4 linked regions of the Mus musculus genome follow. The protein of the gene in region 3 binds, or shares a complex with, the protein of the main gene of each other region. Links are inferred from orthologs where the notes say so. Each region holds a gene or a part of one and is shown on either strand. Other genes may lie near its edges.

The links.
Region 1: Apba1 (region 3) and Lin7a share a complex: the UniProt entries of both Homo sapiens proteins name them as parts of the brain-specific heterotrimeric complex. The link is inferred for Mus musculus from reciprocal best matches to the Homo sapiens genes APBA1 and LIN7A.
Region 2: Apba1 (region 3) and Lin7b share a complex: the UniProt entries of both Homo sapiens proteins name them as parts of the brain-specific heterotrimeric complex. The link is inferred for Mus musculus from reciprocal best matches to the Homo sapiens genes APBA1 and LIN7B.
Region 4: Apba1 (region 3) and Lin7c share a complex: the UniProt entries of both Homo sapiens proteins name them as parts of the brain-specific heterotrimeric complex. The link is inferred for Mus musculus from reciprocal best matches to the Homo sapiens genes APBA1 and LIN7C.

What each region holds. Positions count from the first base shown.
Region 1 is NC_000076.6:107,270,417-107,274,705, reverse strand, and holds the start of Lin7a (protein lin-7 homolog A), read right to left. Parts: upstream 2,876-4,289; 5' UTR 2,846-2,875; coding exon 2,764-2,845; intron 2,313-2,763; exon of another isoform or gene 1,442-2,312; intron 1-1,441. UniProt on the Homo sapiens protein: Plays a role in establishing and maintaining the asymmetric distribution of channels and receptors at the plasma membrane of polarized cells.
Region 2 is NC_000073.6:45,367,714-45,371,839, forward strand, and holds Lin7b (protein lin-7 homolog B), read right to left. Parts: upstream 2,852-4,126; 5' UTR 2,846-2,851; coding exon 2,809-2,845; intron 2,533-2,808; coding exon 2,414-2,532; intron 2,274-2,413; coding exon 2,202-2,273; intron 1,638-2,201; coding exon 1,428-1,637; intron 755-1,427; coding exon 591-754; intron 286-590; coding exon 264-285; 3' UTR 178-263; downstream 1-177. UniProt on the Homo sapiens protein: Plays a role in establishing and maintaining the asymmetric distribution of channels and receptors at the plasma membrane of polarized cells.
Region 3 is NC_000085.6:23,757,444-23,761,675, reverse strand, and holds the start of Apba1 (amyloid-beta A4 precursor protein-binding family A member 1), read right to left. Parts: upstream 2,801-4,232; 5' UTR 2,585-2,800; intron 1-2,584. UniProt on the Homo sapiens protein: Putative function in synaptic vesicle exocytosis by binding to Munc18-1, an essential component of the synaptic vesicle exocytotic machinery. May modulate processing of the amyloid-beta precursor protein (APP) and hence formation of APP-beta.
Region 4 is NC_000068.7:109,889,655-109,893,709, forward strand, and holds the start of Lin7c (protein lin-7 homolog C), read left to right. Parts: upstream 1-1,223; 5' UTR 1,224-1,230; coding exon 1,231-1,267; intron 1,268-4,055. UniProt on the Homo sapiens protein: Plays a role in establishing and maintaining the asymmetric distribution of channels and receptors at the plasma membrane of polarized cells.

The sequences.
Region 1 (4,289 bases), on a different chromosome or scaffold from region 3:
AAGATGCACTTGGTAGTTCCTGACACAAATCCCATTTCCTTCTTTCCTGTTGCCCACTAGTTACAATCCTCCTTAGGCCCGAGATGCCACATTCCCTTTAATCCCAGCACTCAGGAGGCAAAGGCAGGCAGATCTCTGAGTTCAAGGCCAGCCTGGTCTACAAAGCAAGTCCCAGGACAGCAAGGACTACATAAAGAAACCCAGTCTTGCTAAACAGGTGTGGCTGGTAGAGATCCACCAAGTGAATCTGGGAACGGTTCATAGCCACCGCCTTACGTGCTCCTTTCTAGCATCCTTGCTAGCTCTGCAGGGCCATAACCTCATAACTGTACCCCAGTTCCGTATGAAATCTGTATAACAAACAGTTCTCCATTTACTCCAGCTTCAGTTCACTATCACTAGTCTACATTGACTTTATACTCCATCACAAGTCAGGGATGATGAGAAATTCAAAGATGGGTTAAGAAATGGCTTCGTCCCTCAAGGAGCTTTACACATTGGGGGAGACTAAAGGAAAGAAGGATTGTAAATTATAAAGGCTTTGATGGAGCCAAAAGCTTTTGAGTGAGCAAATTTAGAGTGTATAACATGGGCCACCAACGTATCAAATGGCACTCTGGAAACTTGGAGTGACCCAAAATCGCCAGTAGGTGGCCAAACGCTGAGCCCTAAGTTGGGTTAACCGAATTACAGGCTGCTAACACTGCACATCTTCACAATTATCAGACCTTCATGTCCTAATGCCCAACCAAACCAGGACAAAGCTTAGAATCACATATTCCATCAACCTAATAAAATTACTTAACTTGGTGTACTATCATAGTGAATTAGAGGGAAGATAACTTCACGGACTTCTTACACACAGAGCACTTAAAGCCAGTGGTTCAATAATTCAGATGTTCCCATAGATAACCTGACTGGGCTTCCTTTGTTACTTACTCTACAGATCTAATCACAGAAGGACAGGTACCCTCTGAATATAAACAAGAACACACTTTAAATCTTGGTCTTCTCTAGATAGCTGACTGGGGTGTCCAAGGGCTAAGATAAACTTCCCCAAAGTGGACTAGTTGCATTGCTAATAGTAGTGGTGGGATGTAAATTTGCTTGAGTATGTTGTCTTCTTGGAGTGTTTGCATCTAACATAGTTAGAACTTGGGTTGTTTAATATAGTTAAACTTGGGGTGTTTAATGACTGTAATTCAGTAATGGGACAATAGAAGAGCTCATCACATTAAAACAGAAATAACTTGGGAAACCCATCGTTTTTAATAGCCTGCCATCTGTTTGGCTCTTACCAGCAATGGATTTATCCTGCTTAGTACAGATGATATTGGGACTAAAATCATAGATTATACGACGGACTTCTGAGCTCTTTACTCTTATTAATCTGTAAACGAACATTTCCCAACATAAAAATCAATTATTTTTCAACTCTTACCCTAAGTAAGGTTGCTATGGGCACCGCATAATATCCGTTCTGGCACCAACAGATTGAGTTAAAGTCACCAGAGATCTCTCCACATTAAGAACCTCAAATACAGTTTACCAGCTTTGCCACTGTGCTCGCTGTACGATGCTCTTTTTGCTTTGCTGGGCCGCTAGTTTAATCCTCCAGAAAGAGAAATTTTAGAGGGACAAGGACTAAATCATTTTCTTCTGAGCACAGCATTTTCAAATGACTGCACCGGGTCCTAAGCCCCGCCGCTGCGGACCCAGAGCTAGAGGTGCCCTCTCTCTGCAGAGCTGGGGACTCTGGAGCCCTAATAACTAACTGGACCTGGTGAGGCAGAAAGGAAACTCCCATCCACCGCCAGGTACTACTCGGGTGCACTCAGCAGGGCCCGATCCTAGAGAAAGGTTTGGAAAGGTTTGGAAAGGTTTGAGCAAAAGCTCTTTCCGTTTCAGCCAAAGAGTAGGACGCACAGGTCACAGGCTAGAAGTTAAACAGTTACCCAGCCTGCGCTTTGTCTCCGCGCCTTCTGCAGCCCAGGCACTGAGGTACACTTGACTGGTGAAGAACAAGGTTTGCTGGAGCAGGAGACAGGAGTTGCTACCTCCCTGGAACTGCAGGCTGAGGGAGTACCAAGACCAGAGCCGCAGCTCCGAGCGGGAAGCTGGAGCCAAGCCGGCTCGGCTCCGGATGCGGTGTCCCTGAGCCAGCGAAGGTTGCCCGAGCTCTGCTCTGCCCTTTCGCCCGAGGGCAGCGCCCTAGCCAGGCAGTCCCGCGGCTTTGCACCCAGCTTCCCAGCCAAGCGCCCTGCCGCCCTGGGGCGATCTCCCAGTCACAACAGCTGCACAGACCCCTCATCTCCAGCGCGGGGACAAACTTCCTCCCTTCGGGTCCCCGCGCCGGCAGTTGGCAGCTAGCTTCCCCACTGGTCCCTTAGCAAGCTCTGGCTGGGAGAGCTTTCTCTGCCCCTCTTCAACCTCCAGTCACCAGCGCTCAGCGGTCCCGGCGCATCCTCTCCAACAAAGCCGGGGCCCGGAGGCGACCCGGCGAGGGACCGAGACTGTCAGCTGAAACATTCGAGCCCTGGCAAGCACCTACGCCCCGGAGAGCGCAGCAAGAAGGGGCAGCGGGGACCAGGAGAGGAGAGAGGGGAAGAAAGTGTCCTGCTCCGGGCGCGAAACCCTCCTGGGCTGATCCTCCTCCCCCAGCTGCCCCTGCCCGAGCGCATCCTGCCTTCCCTGTGGGACTGGGCAGGGCGGAGGGCGAAGCGGTGCGGACTGTGTGGCCTGACGGACCAGCCGCTCCCTTACCTCTGTCCAGAGTAAGCGGCTGGACCACTGTCAATGTCGCCATGTCTGCCGTGGGAGCCGAAGTGACGCTCGGCTTCAGCATCAGCAACCGCTTGTAGTGAGAAAAAGAGGAGGAGATTGGGGGCGGGGGTGGAGAGGGAAGACGGAAAGGAGGGGGAGGAGGGGGAGGCAGGAAGGTGGTGATGGAGGAGAAGAAAGCTCGGGTGGGTTGGTAGCCAGATGGAGACTCAACTGTTCCGCCGCGGCGAATCTTCAGTGCGGCGCCAAGCAGGGCAGGTAGCCGCGAGCGCCTGCCTGGCCAAGGAGCTGAGAAAGGAACGCTCAGCCCTAGAACTTTGCTCGCCCACCCGTCAGTAGCTCTGGGTGGCTGTAGCAGGTTTGCTGTCTTTCAACTTTCCACCTAAGCATAATGGTCAGAATGCACTCGAACCCAGAAGAAGAGGACTCAGAAACGGGAGAGAGACAGACAGGGGTAGAGAGGTGGGGGGACAGAATTCTTTTCAGATTAAGAAAAAATTTCAACCTCCCTTTCCACATCCCTTTCCAGAGGAAACGCCACTAGCCGTGGGAGATGTTGCTATATCATTGTAGTTGCTGTTAATTTCTGTTGAAGCTTTTTGTTTAGAACGTCCACTCTCAACAGCACAAGGTAACCGACTGAGGGCCAGGCAGGGTTCTGTTAAGTCAGTGTTCGTTTAGGACCTGGGTACATTGCCTAGGAAAATGACTTGCCTTTACAAGCAAACTTCCTTAAAAGGTTCTGAAATAAAAAACGAGTTGCTGTCAGTGAACAGTATTTATCAGGGACCCTCTCCTGTTAATCTGGAAGAAACTTGTATTCAGAGGTGCTATTTATTAATTAGCATGCATGACAAGAGTTGAGCCACGGATGTTTGGTGCCATTTGCTACATCTTAACCTGGGGATTCACTTTTGTTTTCTTTCTCTGCATCCTCCGAATTACAGGTAGATAATGTGAAAGGCCTTATTTCTGAGTCAGTAGATCACAGTTCAGTTCCTGGAGCCTTCAAATACTGACTATGAGCCTTAATCCCAACTTTCACTAAATGTTCACCAAGCCTCATTTCCTTATCAAACCATGAAGAAACATGGAGAAAGATCCTCTGGGCTTTACCGAGATTGGTGGACACAGAGCTGAGATGGCGATGCTGCCCTCCCTGTGACAGCTAAATCATCCTTGTGACCCAGAGACCCTCAGAGGTAGACCCACTGGGTTGCAGAGTATTTGCGTATGACCAAATGCTACGTTCTTCTAATGAGACTAAGAGGTGAGAAAGCTCAGAAATTCAGCAGGAATTGAAAAGTCAAAGATGACTGACCATCTAACTATGCAACAGATCATTGGATACATGCTGAACGTAGTCTTTCAATGTAGTCATCTTCTAAGAGTTTTAAGTTTAAGAACTTTAACCATGAAATTCAACTTTTCACAGCTCCCAGGATCTGACAAACTTGCAGTCCCTTGTGCATCCGCAGTTTCTTCATCCGTCAAATGAGGGACCAGCT
Region 2 (4,126 bases), on a different chromosome or scaffold from region 3:
CAGCCTTGGGTCGGGCTAGTCTCTGGGACACCGGCCAGCCTCCGCCTTCAGAGCTGCGCGAGCGTTGTCTATCATGGTACACAGACTGGAATGAGCTTGTTCTTAACCTCAGCTTCACTGTCCTCCTCCCCCACAGAGACTATTCCAGGATGCGCGACAGACACACAAGACACTCGGTGAGGGTTAAAGATCTTTAAATAAGGAGCCAGTGACAATAAATAATACTGTACAGGGGAGGAGAAGGAGGGTCCTGGTCTGTGATTTCAGCCTCGAGACTCCAAGGACCTGTGAGGGTGTAGAGAGGGGAGTTTTAGACACAGGGTAGGTTCAGGGGTGGGGTGGGGGAGGGCGCGTAAGATGTTCAATGGTGGGGTTCTGGAGACAACAGTTCAGAAAATCAGGCACAGGGCTTCTGGAGTTGGGGAGCCAGAGGGTCCCAGGGCCTTAGCTACCATGGCAGGAGTCAAAGGTCAGAAAACCCCTGGTGGAGAGCCAGAGATAAATGTTGAAGGCCGCTGTGCTCACTGGCCTGATTTGGGTATCTAAGGTTGGGGAAGGCAGCAGGGAGAGGATGGTGACTGGAGGCTCACGTGTAGCTGTGGTGCTGCTGGCGCCGACGGGCAGATCGCATCTTCTCGAAGCGGGCTTCCATCTCCTCCAGCACCCGAGGAGTGTAGCGCACCACCAGTTTCACTGAGCCCTGTGCAGCCTTCAGGAGTTCCACCGCCTTTTCATGGTGTTCGCCTTCCACACTCTGCAGGGCAGGCCTCGCACAGACTGCTGGCCCAAACCGCTGCCCTTACCACCCTACCCAGGACATGGGACCAGTGGATAGTGACACGGCTGCTGGGGTCAAGTCTCCAAGGCCTCATATCCCTCTAGTGGATCACCAACTTTAGGCACAGCACCCACAACCTAAAAACTGCATGTCAAGATAGCTTTGAGTCCCAGTGTCCTCAATGAACCAGGCCACTGAACCTGTCCCAAAAAAGTCTGTCTACACCCCCTAAGCTTATTGATCTCCTGCCCTCACTGCCCAGGGCCAGAAGCCGGGCTTTTCTGGAGAGACGACCTCCTCGGTGGTGTTTCCTTGGATTCTAATCACTGGGGTTTCAGGATGCTGACTGGCCCAGACATCAGGCAGAGCCAGCCTTTCTCCTCATCTCAGGGACCATCTCTGTTCCGAGCCAGAACCACCCCTCCACATCTTAGTTCAGAGAAGTACCCAACCTTCAACCTCCAAGCCAAATATTCCTCCTGAAAACAACTGCCATCTTCTACACTGGGCTGCTATCCTAGCTAGGCTCTCTGAAGTCCTTGAGGGTCAGCAGTGTACCCCACAGTGCTGTCTCCAAAGGCTGTGTTCCCTGTGTAGAGGGAATGTGACCGTCCAGGGCTGCCTTACGGACACTACCAACCCCACTCACCACACCATTCACAGACAGCAGCTGGTCTCCCCTCTTGAGGCCACCATGGCGATCAGCCACGCCCCCAGGGATGACTCGAGAGATATAGATGGGTGAGTTCTGCTCCTTGCCACCCATGATGTTGAAGCCCAAACCCTCATCAGTCTTCGGTAGTTCCACGACCCTGGGATGTGCGTGGCCCTCACTGGCCGTGAAAGCAGCCACTGTGGCCTGGAAGAGAGAAGACGCCTCAATGAGAGAGACCCTCTTTGAGACATGGGCACTCCAGCCAGCGTAGCCGCAAAGATCAAGTAGGGGAACCCTGACACAGCTCAACAGGAGGCTACCCTATACTGACTCCGACCTGTGAGAACCCTTGCTTTCTTCCGAAAGTCAGGGAGAAGGGCATCCTTAGTACTTAACACCTGCCAATCTTGTTCTCAGACAAATGGAAACAAGTGCCCCCCCCACCTCGGGGGTGGGGTGGGGTGATAGGGATCAGGTGTAAATCTTGAGTCTGCAGGCAGTAATAAGTAATAAGCACTGCAGTTTGGAAAGGTGTCCCTGTTCACAACATCCAACAGGATTGCCTTTTAGGGTCATCTTACCGACAGGAAAGTGAGGCCAGTTTCCAAGCCTGTTGCTAGAGAGAATCTCATGTGCATTCAAGTTAAAAATGTGCAGTTATTTAAAGGGCATTATAAATAAATCTTCATAGGGTGGCACAGAGATGCGCTGATGTGAAGGAGGGCACTGCTTTCGTGGTCACCCAGAGCTACCGGAGCAGGAGCTTACCTTAGCTGTGGCATGAGCCCGCACCTCGGCGCTGCCAGTGATGTCCAGCGTGTCATAGAGCTGTTCATACACCTGGGAAGTCGGGGACACGGCAACGTCAGAGAGCTGCCAGTCCACAGCCCTGGACACCGGTGTCCTCGTCCGCTCGCCCGTCGCCGACCCCGCCGCAGAGTGCAAGGAAACTACAACTTATACAGAACCAAGATGCTCACCTCGCGGATGGCGGAGCAGAAGCGACTCTGCAGGACCCGCTGCAGGGCCTGCAGCTTCTGCGGGGGCAGCTCTCCGCTGCGCTGCAGCCGCTCCAGCAGCTCCACAGCCCGGGACACGTCTGCAGAAAGCGGCAGGGACCGCGAGAGCATACGCCGGCAGCAAGAAGGGCAATCGAGGTCAGACTGGAAGCGATCCACGTGCCTCGCGGGTCGCGGGGACCCCAACCCTGGGCGAGGTGTTGGTGGGGCGCTCCGCCCCAGACCCTCCCACGCCCTCAGACTGCAGGCCGCGCCCCGCCCACCCTAACTAGGTCCGCCCCCCAACCCCCGCATCTGCAAAGCCTGTCGCAACCCAACGGAGCCCAGAGCCCGGACTGGACCCTCGGAGCGCTTACCCCGCTCCAGCCCCAGCGGCTCCACCAGTGCAGCCATATCGCCTCTAATGCAAGCCACCCGCCCAGGCGCCAGCGAGGAGGTGCAATGCGAGGCCCCGCCCACCAGGTGCTGGCAAGGAGGTGGTGCATGAGGCCCTGCCCACACGGCAACCAACAGTTTCAGAGGGCCTGCCCTCACACTGACAGGAGGCGGTGCTGCGCAGGGTCCCGCCCACTCCGGAACTCTAGAGACCTTCCCCCTCTGGGTGTCTCGCTCCTACATCACTATCTGCTGCCCATCATAGGTCTATCCTAGCCGCGATCTTGTTACTCCGTTGGTGTGTCTGCCTTGCTCTTTACAGTATGTCTGTGCTTTTCTGGTAACTTCCCCTCATTTCTACAGAGGGGCGTGGGTTCTCAGGACTCCAGGGGCCTATAGAAGAGGATCGCTGTGACTTGGAAGACAGAAACACCTAACAAGAGCCTATTTCAAGAAAGCAGAAAAATAAAAGCTGAAGGGGTAACTCAGTCGAAGAGTGCTAACCTTGCAGGCTGAGATTCTAGGTCCTGCACCCTGCAGAGCATAAATCATACCTGTAATCCCAGCATTCAGAAGTGGAGGCAGGGTGATCGGAACAGTGCCCAAGGTCACCCTCAGTTACACTGAAGTCTTGTGGCTAGCCAAGTCTACGTAAGACTGACAAAACATACACACAGAGCCCGGTGGTCCACGTCTTTAATCTCAGCACTTCCAAGGTCAGTGATTTCCATAGTGAGACCCTGTCTAGACTAACCTAGACTCACACACTGAAAGAGAGGGGGGGGAGGGGAGGGGAGGGGAGAGAGGAGGAGAGGAGAGAGAAACTTGAATAAGACCTTTATAGTTTAGAGATGCTTGGAAGATAAAGTCAACAAGTTGTATGACCTGGGTCACCCCAGCAGCCACCCAGAGAGTAGCCAAGAGGCTAGGCAGTGGTGACGGCAAAACAGTGGTCTTGTGTTATAATTTGCATTTGGATCTGTGTCTCCATATAAACCCCTGAGAGTGTACAAGATGGTCAAATACCTATCTGAAGATCTCCAGGGAGACTGGATTTCAGAAGGGGCAGAAGGGCAGATAAGGCCCTGGAGACTGGTCCACTAACGTGGAGTGCTGCCTGTTTGGGTGAGAGGTGGAGTGGGGAGCACTGAGGTGGACAGGTTCTCATGGTGACTGTGTGGACTGCTTGCAGATATTCTCGATGTGGGGAGCCTGTAGTTAGGCTGGTGATGTGGCTCAGCAGAGCACTTGCCTAGCAAATCGAAAGCCTTGGGTTCCACCTGCAGCACTGTATAACCC
Region 3 (4,232 bases):
CTGTTTCTACCACTCGATGTTCTATTTTGTCTTCCTTGCAGCATAAAAGCTCAGTTTCCCCCGTGGCACCATGGTTTATCCCTTTTTGGCCCTGCAGGTCAATTTTCAAATGTCCTTTACTTCCAAGTCTTCTGAAAAGACAAACTTTTCAAAGGGAGGCTTGCGGTAGAGGAGAAAGGCATTAAAGCTGCTTTTAGGGAAGAAGACGAAGAGGCATTCATGCAAAACAAATGGCTTGCTGCAGGCTGCAGGGAGAGGTGCAGCCATTTACCAAACTGAATTACAGATCTCAGCTGTACCTTTAACCTCACCGGGCCAAACGTTAGGAAAGCAGGGCATGGCATTTGAAAAAGTCTCTCATTTACATGAGAAAGGAAATCAGAAATTCTCAAGTCATCAATTGTGTTTGTATGCACTTCTTTCTCTAATCAGGCTGTTTACGTTGGTAATTTCTAATATTCTTGAGTTTTCTTATAAGAAATTTACATATGTGGTTTTACTTGCGTATACAGAGATGATAACTTTTTTTTAAAGTAAAGAAACCTAAGCCTCTTAAGTGACTTACATCCATCAGAATGAGATATGGCCAAAGCATTAAGAGAGTTAAAGAACTAGGATTCTAAATTCATTTTTATAAGTCCTTTTTAAAGTCTCGGATGAGATCCAACAACCTCACATTAAAATTTCAGAAGGCTTGGCTTGAAGGATGCGGGGAAATTTACTTTACACTCATAGCTTCCAGCATAGTTGGTCCACATGTCATCATTTGTTTTAAAAACAATAAACGAGAAGGAAAAGTCATATGTAGATGGCCTTAGCTTTATTATTTTCAATGTACCCATGGAATAACACTTTATACTTTGCCCAAAGAATAAAATTTTTAGAAAAAGAAAGAAATCTTTGGTGTCAGTATATCATACATTTATTTGTACATCCTTGTGATTATTTCAAGCTTTTCAAAGAGGCCCAGTGCAGCCCATTTGGGTTCTGACAGCAATTCAGTAGAATTTAAGGTATTATAACTAAAATATGTCCCAAGCAGGTGAATCCAATCATATGACATCAGTAAAGTACTGGGCTATTATCATAAAGGTGCATTCACTCCTATGGATATTGCAGGAGAAATACAGACTCCAGGGAACCAGGCGGCAGTGGACACGCATACGGATATGCCATCTCTAGTGCTTTCCCTCTCTACGCAACCCTATCTTTATTACGCAGAGAAATTTAAGCATCTATAGACTCTGCGTGCTTTTTCTCTGTCTTGGTTCCTAGACATCATTGGAGAGCCAAACATTTGCCAAATTTCCTACGAGTGAGCTGTCCTGGGAAGGAAATCGGGGACTTCACTGACTGGAGATCTTATATCCATGGGTCTCGGGAAATTTCAGTTCCTAAATGGACCTTCTAACCATTGTGAAAGCCGGGAGAGTGGCTGTCACTAGCATCCCATTTCCCACGGAAAAACACCCAAGAGAATGCATGTTGGGGCACTCTTTTTTTTTTCCTTGTTTTTTTTTTTTTTACTTCCCTTTCAATCTTGTTCTTGTATTTTTAAAGCCCCCACCTTCTTTACACACCTCAAGAGTTTATTCTAAAAGAATCATTGCAAAGACTATCCAATCTTCAGCTAGAAGGTTTTCAGTACTTATATATGGAAGGGAGTCTGGTGATAAAAGTTGTGGGAACGGGAGAGGAAGATGACCATTAAACACCCTCTTCTTGGGGTTAGACAAGAGATAAACAATAGAAATTGCAGAGTCAGGCAGTCAATGAGAGGCTGTGAAGTGCCAAAGAAAGCGCCCTTCAGAGCCAGGGACACCAGCTGTCTCAAAAGGTGTAACCATTATCCTGGTTTGCTGCCATGTGCCTCAAAGCAACCGCTCACTTCCACATCCCCGTGTTAGGACGTTAGGGAAAGGGGAAGCGAGAATCCGTACACCCAGCCACCCAAGAACAGTAGCAGAACAGAAACTGTTCTTAGACTTGCAGGGTCAAAATAACCAATACTGTCCCACAGTGTTAGCTGGCGGCATCAAGTCAGGAAAAGCAGATCGCTGGATGTGGGGCGCAGTTTTGAGAGCGTGGATCCAATTGCACGCTAAACACTCACTCTTACACGGGATTTTACAAACCCGGCCTTACCCTACTGCCTCCCCTCCACACTTCACACACCAAGTGCATCCTGCCCACCTCACGGTTTCCATCATCAGTCAGCCAGAGAGGAGGGATCCTAGCGGGGATTCCTGGAAATGTCATCTCCCCCTACACTTCGGATCTGCCACCTCCATCCCCTCTGCTATCACACACACACACACACACACACACACACACACACTCCTTCCGTGACTGTCATCAGGCCCGCTCTTCCCAAAGCCGGGTATCTCAGCGCGCACCGGACGCCTGGCATCTCTCTAGTACACACCCTTCCCCCGCCTCGCTAGCTCCAAGCACTGCCTCCCTGGATGTCGCCTGCCGTCCCTGTTCATCCGCACTATTGTTCCACGCTTCACCCCTAGCTCCCGGGATCATCCCTCCAAAAGGACCCGAGCTCCGTCCGGGGCGTCGGGCGCCCGGCACTCACCCAGCCCGCCCTGGCGGTGGTACCTTGCCTGACAGCTGGGTCCGCGGGCCCGCGGGAGCAGGCGGCGCTAGTGACAGCGACCGTGCCAAGCCTGGGAATAAAGCTGCTCTCCAGCTGCTCCCGCCTCCAGCGCCACCATCTTCCCCCGCCGCCACCGGGACCGCAGCCGCCCGCGCCCCGCTCCTCCGGCTCTAGCTCGGCAGCCGCTCGGGCCCCTCCGGCCGCGGCCCCACCCCCTGCTCGCCGCCCGCTCGCCCTCGTGACGCGCGCCGGGGCCGGGCGGCTGCGACTGACGGCGGGGGGAGCGCGCGCACGCCGCGTGCAGCAGCGCCCCTGCCTCCCACGCCCACCCGCGTGCGCGCGCGCGGCGCGGGCCCGACGCGACAGTCCAGCTCGGGCGCGCGTGAGCGTGCGAGGGGTCCACAGCCGTCGCCGTAGCTGTGCGCGAGTCCCTCCCTCTCGTGGCCGAGAGCCTGGAATGGACTACGTGGCTGCCTCCCGCGGGGACACAGGGGGACCTCCACGGTCCTCTGTCCCAGGTCCCTAACGCTCATCCCCGGCCCCGTCTCTGCGAATGGGCTCTGGTCACGCTTAGGACACACTGCCGCGTGGACGGCTGCCCGTGTCCTCTTGCTTAGTGACACGCAGTTTTCCCGCTTCCCGGGCCTGAAAGCCAAGAAAAAGCTTGGAGCTTGCAATGCGGCGCTGCGCTCCTCGAGTGGCCGCGAGGGGGCGCCCGCGTGAGCTTGAGAGGAACAAGCTGGGCGTCTGTCTGGCCGCCCACTGGGGGCGCTGCCCAACCCGCCCCACCCAGAAAGCGTCTGGAAGGCGGGGTCGGGAAATGGTCCACTTGGTTTCTCGATGCCCGTTGCTAGGAGCTTAAAAGAGTCTTCCAGACGTGCAGAGGCAATTCGCCTGGTATATGATTAGGTTCTCTGGAGGGTGGGGACCCTGAGCACTAGGGACCAGGTAGCAGGTGTTGTGACTTAATGAAAAGGTGGACTGGCCCCTGGGCGGCGGCGGGGTGGGAGTGGAGGGGCGAGGGCGGGGCTGGGTTCAGGCGCCTGGGTTCAGGCGCCAGCTCCATCTGTAATAGGCGATTCCATAGCTACATCCTCCCCCCTCTTTGGGACAGAGTTCTCAATTTAAAAATTAAGGGTCATATTCCCCCGAAACCTTATAATTTTCAAGTCCGTCTTAGTATGCATATTCTCATCTAGTGAAATGAAGACAAGCCTTCCTTATCTGACCTAGGGAGAGATAAATCTATCATTATACAGTATTTCCATATTAAGCACAGTATCTCCAGAAATATCTACGGGTGTAGCCCGAGGCATCCTAGAATTCTTGTTTAGCCTTAAAATTCACATGAATTTCTGCATTCTACTTCGTAATTAGTTTCTTGGCTTTGACAAAGAAAAGTATAGCTTCTCCTGTCCCCCCAGTATCTTTTCATAAAACTTAAACATATACTAGAAATAAGGGCCATTGTTGTTTTTCTTGTGACAGTCATTCCCTATTCATCTTGTCAGTAAAACTACCCTCTCTGGTGAAAGCCAGATAGGGTCCTCGTCCCTCCAGAATTCATAGCACCCTGGGAAAACTACACATCAGAGAACAACTGTGAACTTTCCAACTGCCAAGGTGC
Region 4 (4,055 bases), on a different chromosome or scaffold from region 3:
TGGTCTTCTGCGTAAGCCTGGAATTCTGGGATTTTTTGTGTGTTTATCATCAAAGACATGGAAAAAGACTACTCCAAAGGAGCAGAAGATAGAGATAAAGCTCAGATTTGTGTAGCTTGTACAAGTCTGCAGATTCGAGTCTCTGGAAAAGTAAGTAATGTGTAACCCCAGCTCATAAGAATAGCTCCTGTCAGCCAAGAAAACCTGTGTCATTTGTATGGAGCATGAGGAAGCTTGAAGGCTACTGCCCAGTGGTGGGATTCAACTACCTAATAACAACATGTAGAAAACTGCAGTTCAACGGAAAGAATGGGTCACCTGCAACCAGCTATTAAAACAATCCTGTCGTGCAGGTGTTACAAACTTAACACTGGACTATGATCTTTGCTACCCAAATCCAAGTTTCACAAAAATTATTTCATTGAAATTAGTGACTAAAAATATTTGGGTCCACCAAGTCTTCAAGAGTGGCCCTATGAGGATCTGGAGATGACAGACAGTGCTGTTAGGAGTACTGGCTCCTTTTCCAGGGGTCCTGGGGTTAGATTCCCAACACCCACAGGGCAGGTCTCAACCATCTGTAACTCCAGTTCCAGGGGAATAGATGCCCTCTTGTGGCCTCAGGTTTGTAAATGGTGCAGATATACATAAGGGCAAAACACCCATTAATATAAAAATTCTTACAAATTACAAAATGTACCCATAAAACAAAATCTATGCTTCATCCTTCATTCACAAGCAGATTTTGAATCGGCTAACTAAAAACAATACTTCGTGTATACCAAAGCGTTCTCTCCCGGTTGTTTTTTTTCCCACCTTTCTGCTCAAAGAGAGTTTTAGATAAAATTCGAATTGTAAATTTTTTAAATTAGATCAAGCTAGGATATTAAGAATTTATAAGAGGACTCGGACATGGGGAAACCAGCCTAGACGGTCAGAGGCTGCCGTCGGTCGGGTAAGGGCCGGAACTAAGGTCCTGACTTCCCCGAGGCAGGGGACACTCGGGACATCGGTTCTTTTCAACCTCAGGTTGTTGGAAGTGGACGAGCACAGACCCACGAAAGGAGGCCACCCGTCGGTCGCAAAGCGTCCCCGGCTACCGCTCTGCGTAGTTACCCGCATCCTTCTAGCTCTCGCGTTACTACCATCCTCGCCCTTCCGCTTTCTCGGCCTGGTCCACCGCGGCCCCTCTGTCGTCACTTCCTGTGGGTCTGCACCTCCGAAGAGAAGATGGCGGCGCTGGGCGAACCTGTCCGGCTGGAAAGGGGTGAGTGCGGCGGGGGTCGCGGCCGCGGTGGGTGGGGCGGGTCGAGACTACGAACCGCTCTGCCTGCGGGCCGGAGCGGAGGCAAGGTGACCCGGACGCTGAGCCCCGGAAGCCCTCGGCGGCCTCGGCGCCGGGCGCTGCTCGCGGGGGGCGCTGGCTGGCGTTTGAAAGCTCGCCAGAGCCGGCCGTTGAGGCTGGCGGCGGGCACAGCACGGCTCAGCGGCCTGCCCACGGCTGTAGGCACGGGCGCTCCCTGGGTCCGCACCGCAGCATCGGCTTTCAGCTTCATAGACCCTAAAAGCCGAGGCCACCACGCAGCCCGGCACTGTCTACGGTCAGTGTGCGCGAACAGATCAGTGTGGCCTCTTGGCCTGGTTCTGCCACTTGGCCGACACAGACACATTCCCGCAGAAACTCCCTCGCCCCCATTTAAAACTCAGACTCCTTCAGTACTGTGACCACAGCCTCCGGGCTTTGAGTTGCTCTTTCCTAACTTTCGCACCCCTCCAGCCACGGAGAGGATGCTTACAAAAACAAAAACAAAAAACAAACAAAAAAAAAACCCTCCAACTGACTTGATCTTGGGAAGGAGATTACATAACTAGGTGGAGTAGTGATTTGATTGTAAGTCACTTTTAAGTGCCATGCAATTCCATACTCATAAACCCTACACTTGGAAACCTGGTTGGTTGATTGCTTCTTAGAGCAAACAGCCAAGAAAAACCAACCCGATTGAAGAGAAGCCTGTGAAAAGACTCTCCCAGGGTCCAGTTGCAGCTTTCCAGTATTGTACTCTGTTCTGCCCCAACTTAAATTTCAGACAACTGGAACAAGCTTTGTACAATTCGGTAGTCATAGTAACCAGAAAGTACCAGTTAAGCATTTCGAGTGCTGTTGGCAAACATCGCCTGGGATGGAGTTTGACATTGCATATATTTAGTATTCACAATTATAATCTCAATATCGTCCAAGAAGGAAATCATTTTATAAAATTTGTGTATGTAATAGAACCTCTTTCCTCACACACTGTGCTGATTATGATTCGTTTTGCTTTTTATTGTAGTGACCATGGGAGCCTTTTGTTTCTTTTTAAATAAATGAACTTGTTTGTGACAGGGTAGCTTGGGAAAGAATAAGGTAGGCTTACAGCTGTGTCATTTTCCCCTCAAGTACTACGGTGTCAATGTGCTTTGAACACATTGTTACACAGGAACAAATCTGTTGGTGTTAACCAGAAGAGTTGCAAGTTTCAAACAAGATGGCGTTCTTTTGTATCTTTAAATGAAGCACAAAATGTGGACCTTTTCCCTCTGACATCTGCTTTTTGCTGTTAGGAAGTTTTTCAGTTAAACAGTAGAAAGCTCAAAATATTGGTAGGAATGAAGTCCTAGTTGGTTTTTGCCAGTTAGCAGGATAAGCAAGGCAGTTGGTGTCAAGTCCGATTCTGATCAAGAATTCTAACAGACCTAGCATATTCTCAAAAGTTCCACAGTACAATTCCACAGCAAAATACCAGTACATATGACCAAGTTCCTGTTTGCTTCAAAATCATCAAAGCACAATTCACTGGTGCACAAACTTAATGAGCATATATTTGGTATAGAGTGTTTAACTCATTTCTAAGTGTCTCCCTTCTCTCTACCCTCTCCTATCTCCTCTTTTCCTTCTTCCCACCATGTTGTATTGAGTTGAGAGCCTTGTACATATTAGGTGAGCACTCTGCCACTGAGCCGTTTTCCCAGCTGTATATGTAGGATTTTAATGTGGATAATGTATTGTGACTGTAAATCAACAACTGCTGAAACAACATTTACTAGCCATTCTGGTGGTGGGACATCAGAGCAAAGCTGGTCTGTTTGATTAACTGATTAATAGCAGTTTAAACTTTTATTATCTAAAACTGAATCAACTTTTTGCTTCTCTACTAAGTTTATTTGGACTTTTTCATAAACAAATGCAAAGTCCTAACTAATTCTGTGAAGTAAATGCCTGGTATTTTGTTGTTGTTGTTGTTGTTGTAGTTGTTGTTGTTGCGGGATTAAAGGTGTGCGCCACCACGCCCGGCTAAATGTCCGGTTTTTAACGTGGCATGAAATCAAAACTTTCCTCTAGTTAAGTCAAAGTATGCAAGGATCAGAATATATAGGATAGTATATAGACTTATATAGACTCTAAGGTATCCTAACCTTTGGAGCCAAATGAGCACAATTCAAACTTACTTAATTAAATTTAATTAGAATTTACTGCTACTTAATTAGCAATAAGAATATACTGAGGCTGGGGTTCAGAAAAACCTTAGGAAAAAACTCAGAACAGAGATTGTGATTAATAGTGTTATAACATGAAGTTGAGTTTTCTAAAGTTCTTTGTTCACATTTTTTACATTCCCAATGACAGTTATCTAATATGCTAAATGTGTCTGTGTGTGTGTGTGTGTTTGTAGCTCTTTCATATTTTTTTCTTTTTAAGTTGTATATGTTGGGAGACTTTGGAGAGGGGCGTGGCAGAAGAGGGTGTCAGGTCCGTGGAGGTTTAGGTAATTGTGAGATGACCAAGTGGGTGCTAGGATTCAGGAAGTGCTGAACTATGTCTTTGGCCCCTAATACTTTAATATTTCTCTGTATAGCCCTGGCTGTCCTGGAACTCACTCTGTAGACCAGGCTGGCCTCAAACTCTGAAATCCGCCTGCTTCTGCCTCTCAAGTGCTGGGATTAAAGGTGTGCGTCACCACTGGCCGGCTTAATATTTCTTAAAATTAATCCATACCAAGGAGACATACATCTGTGCT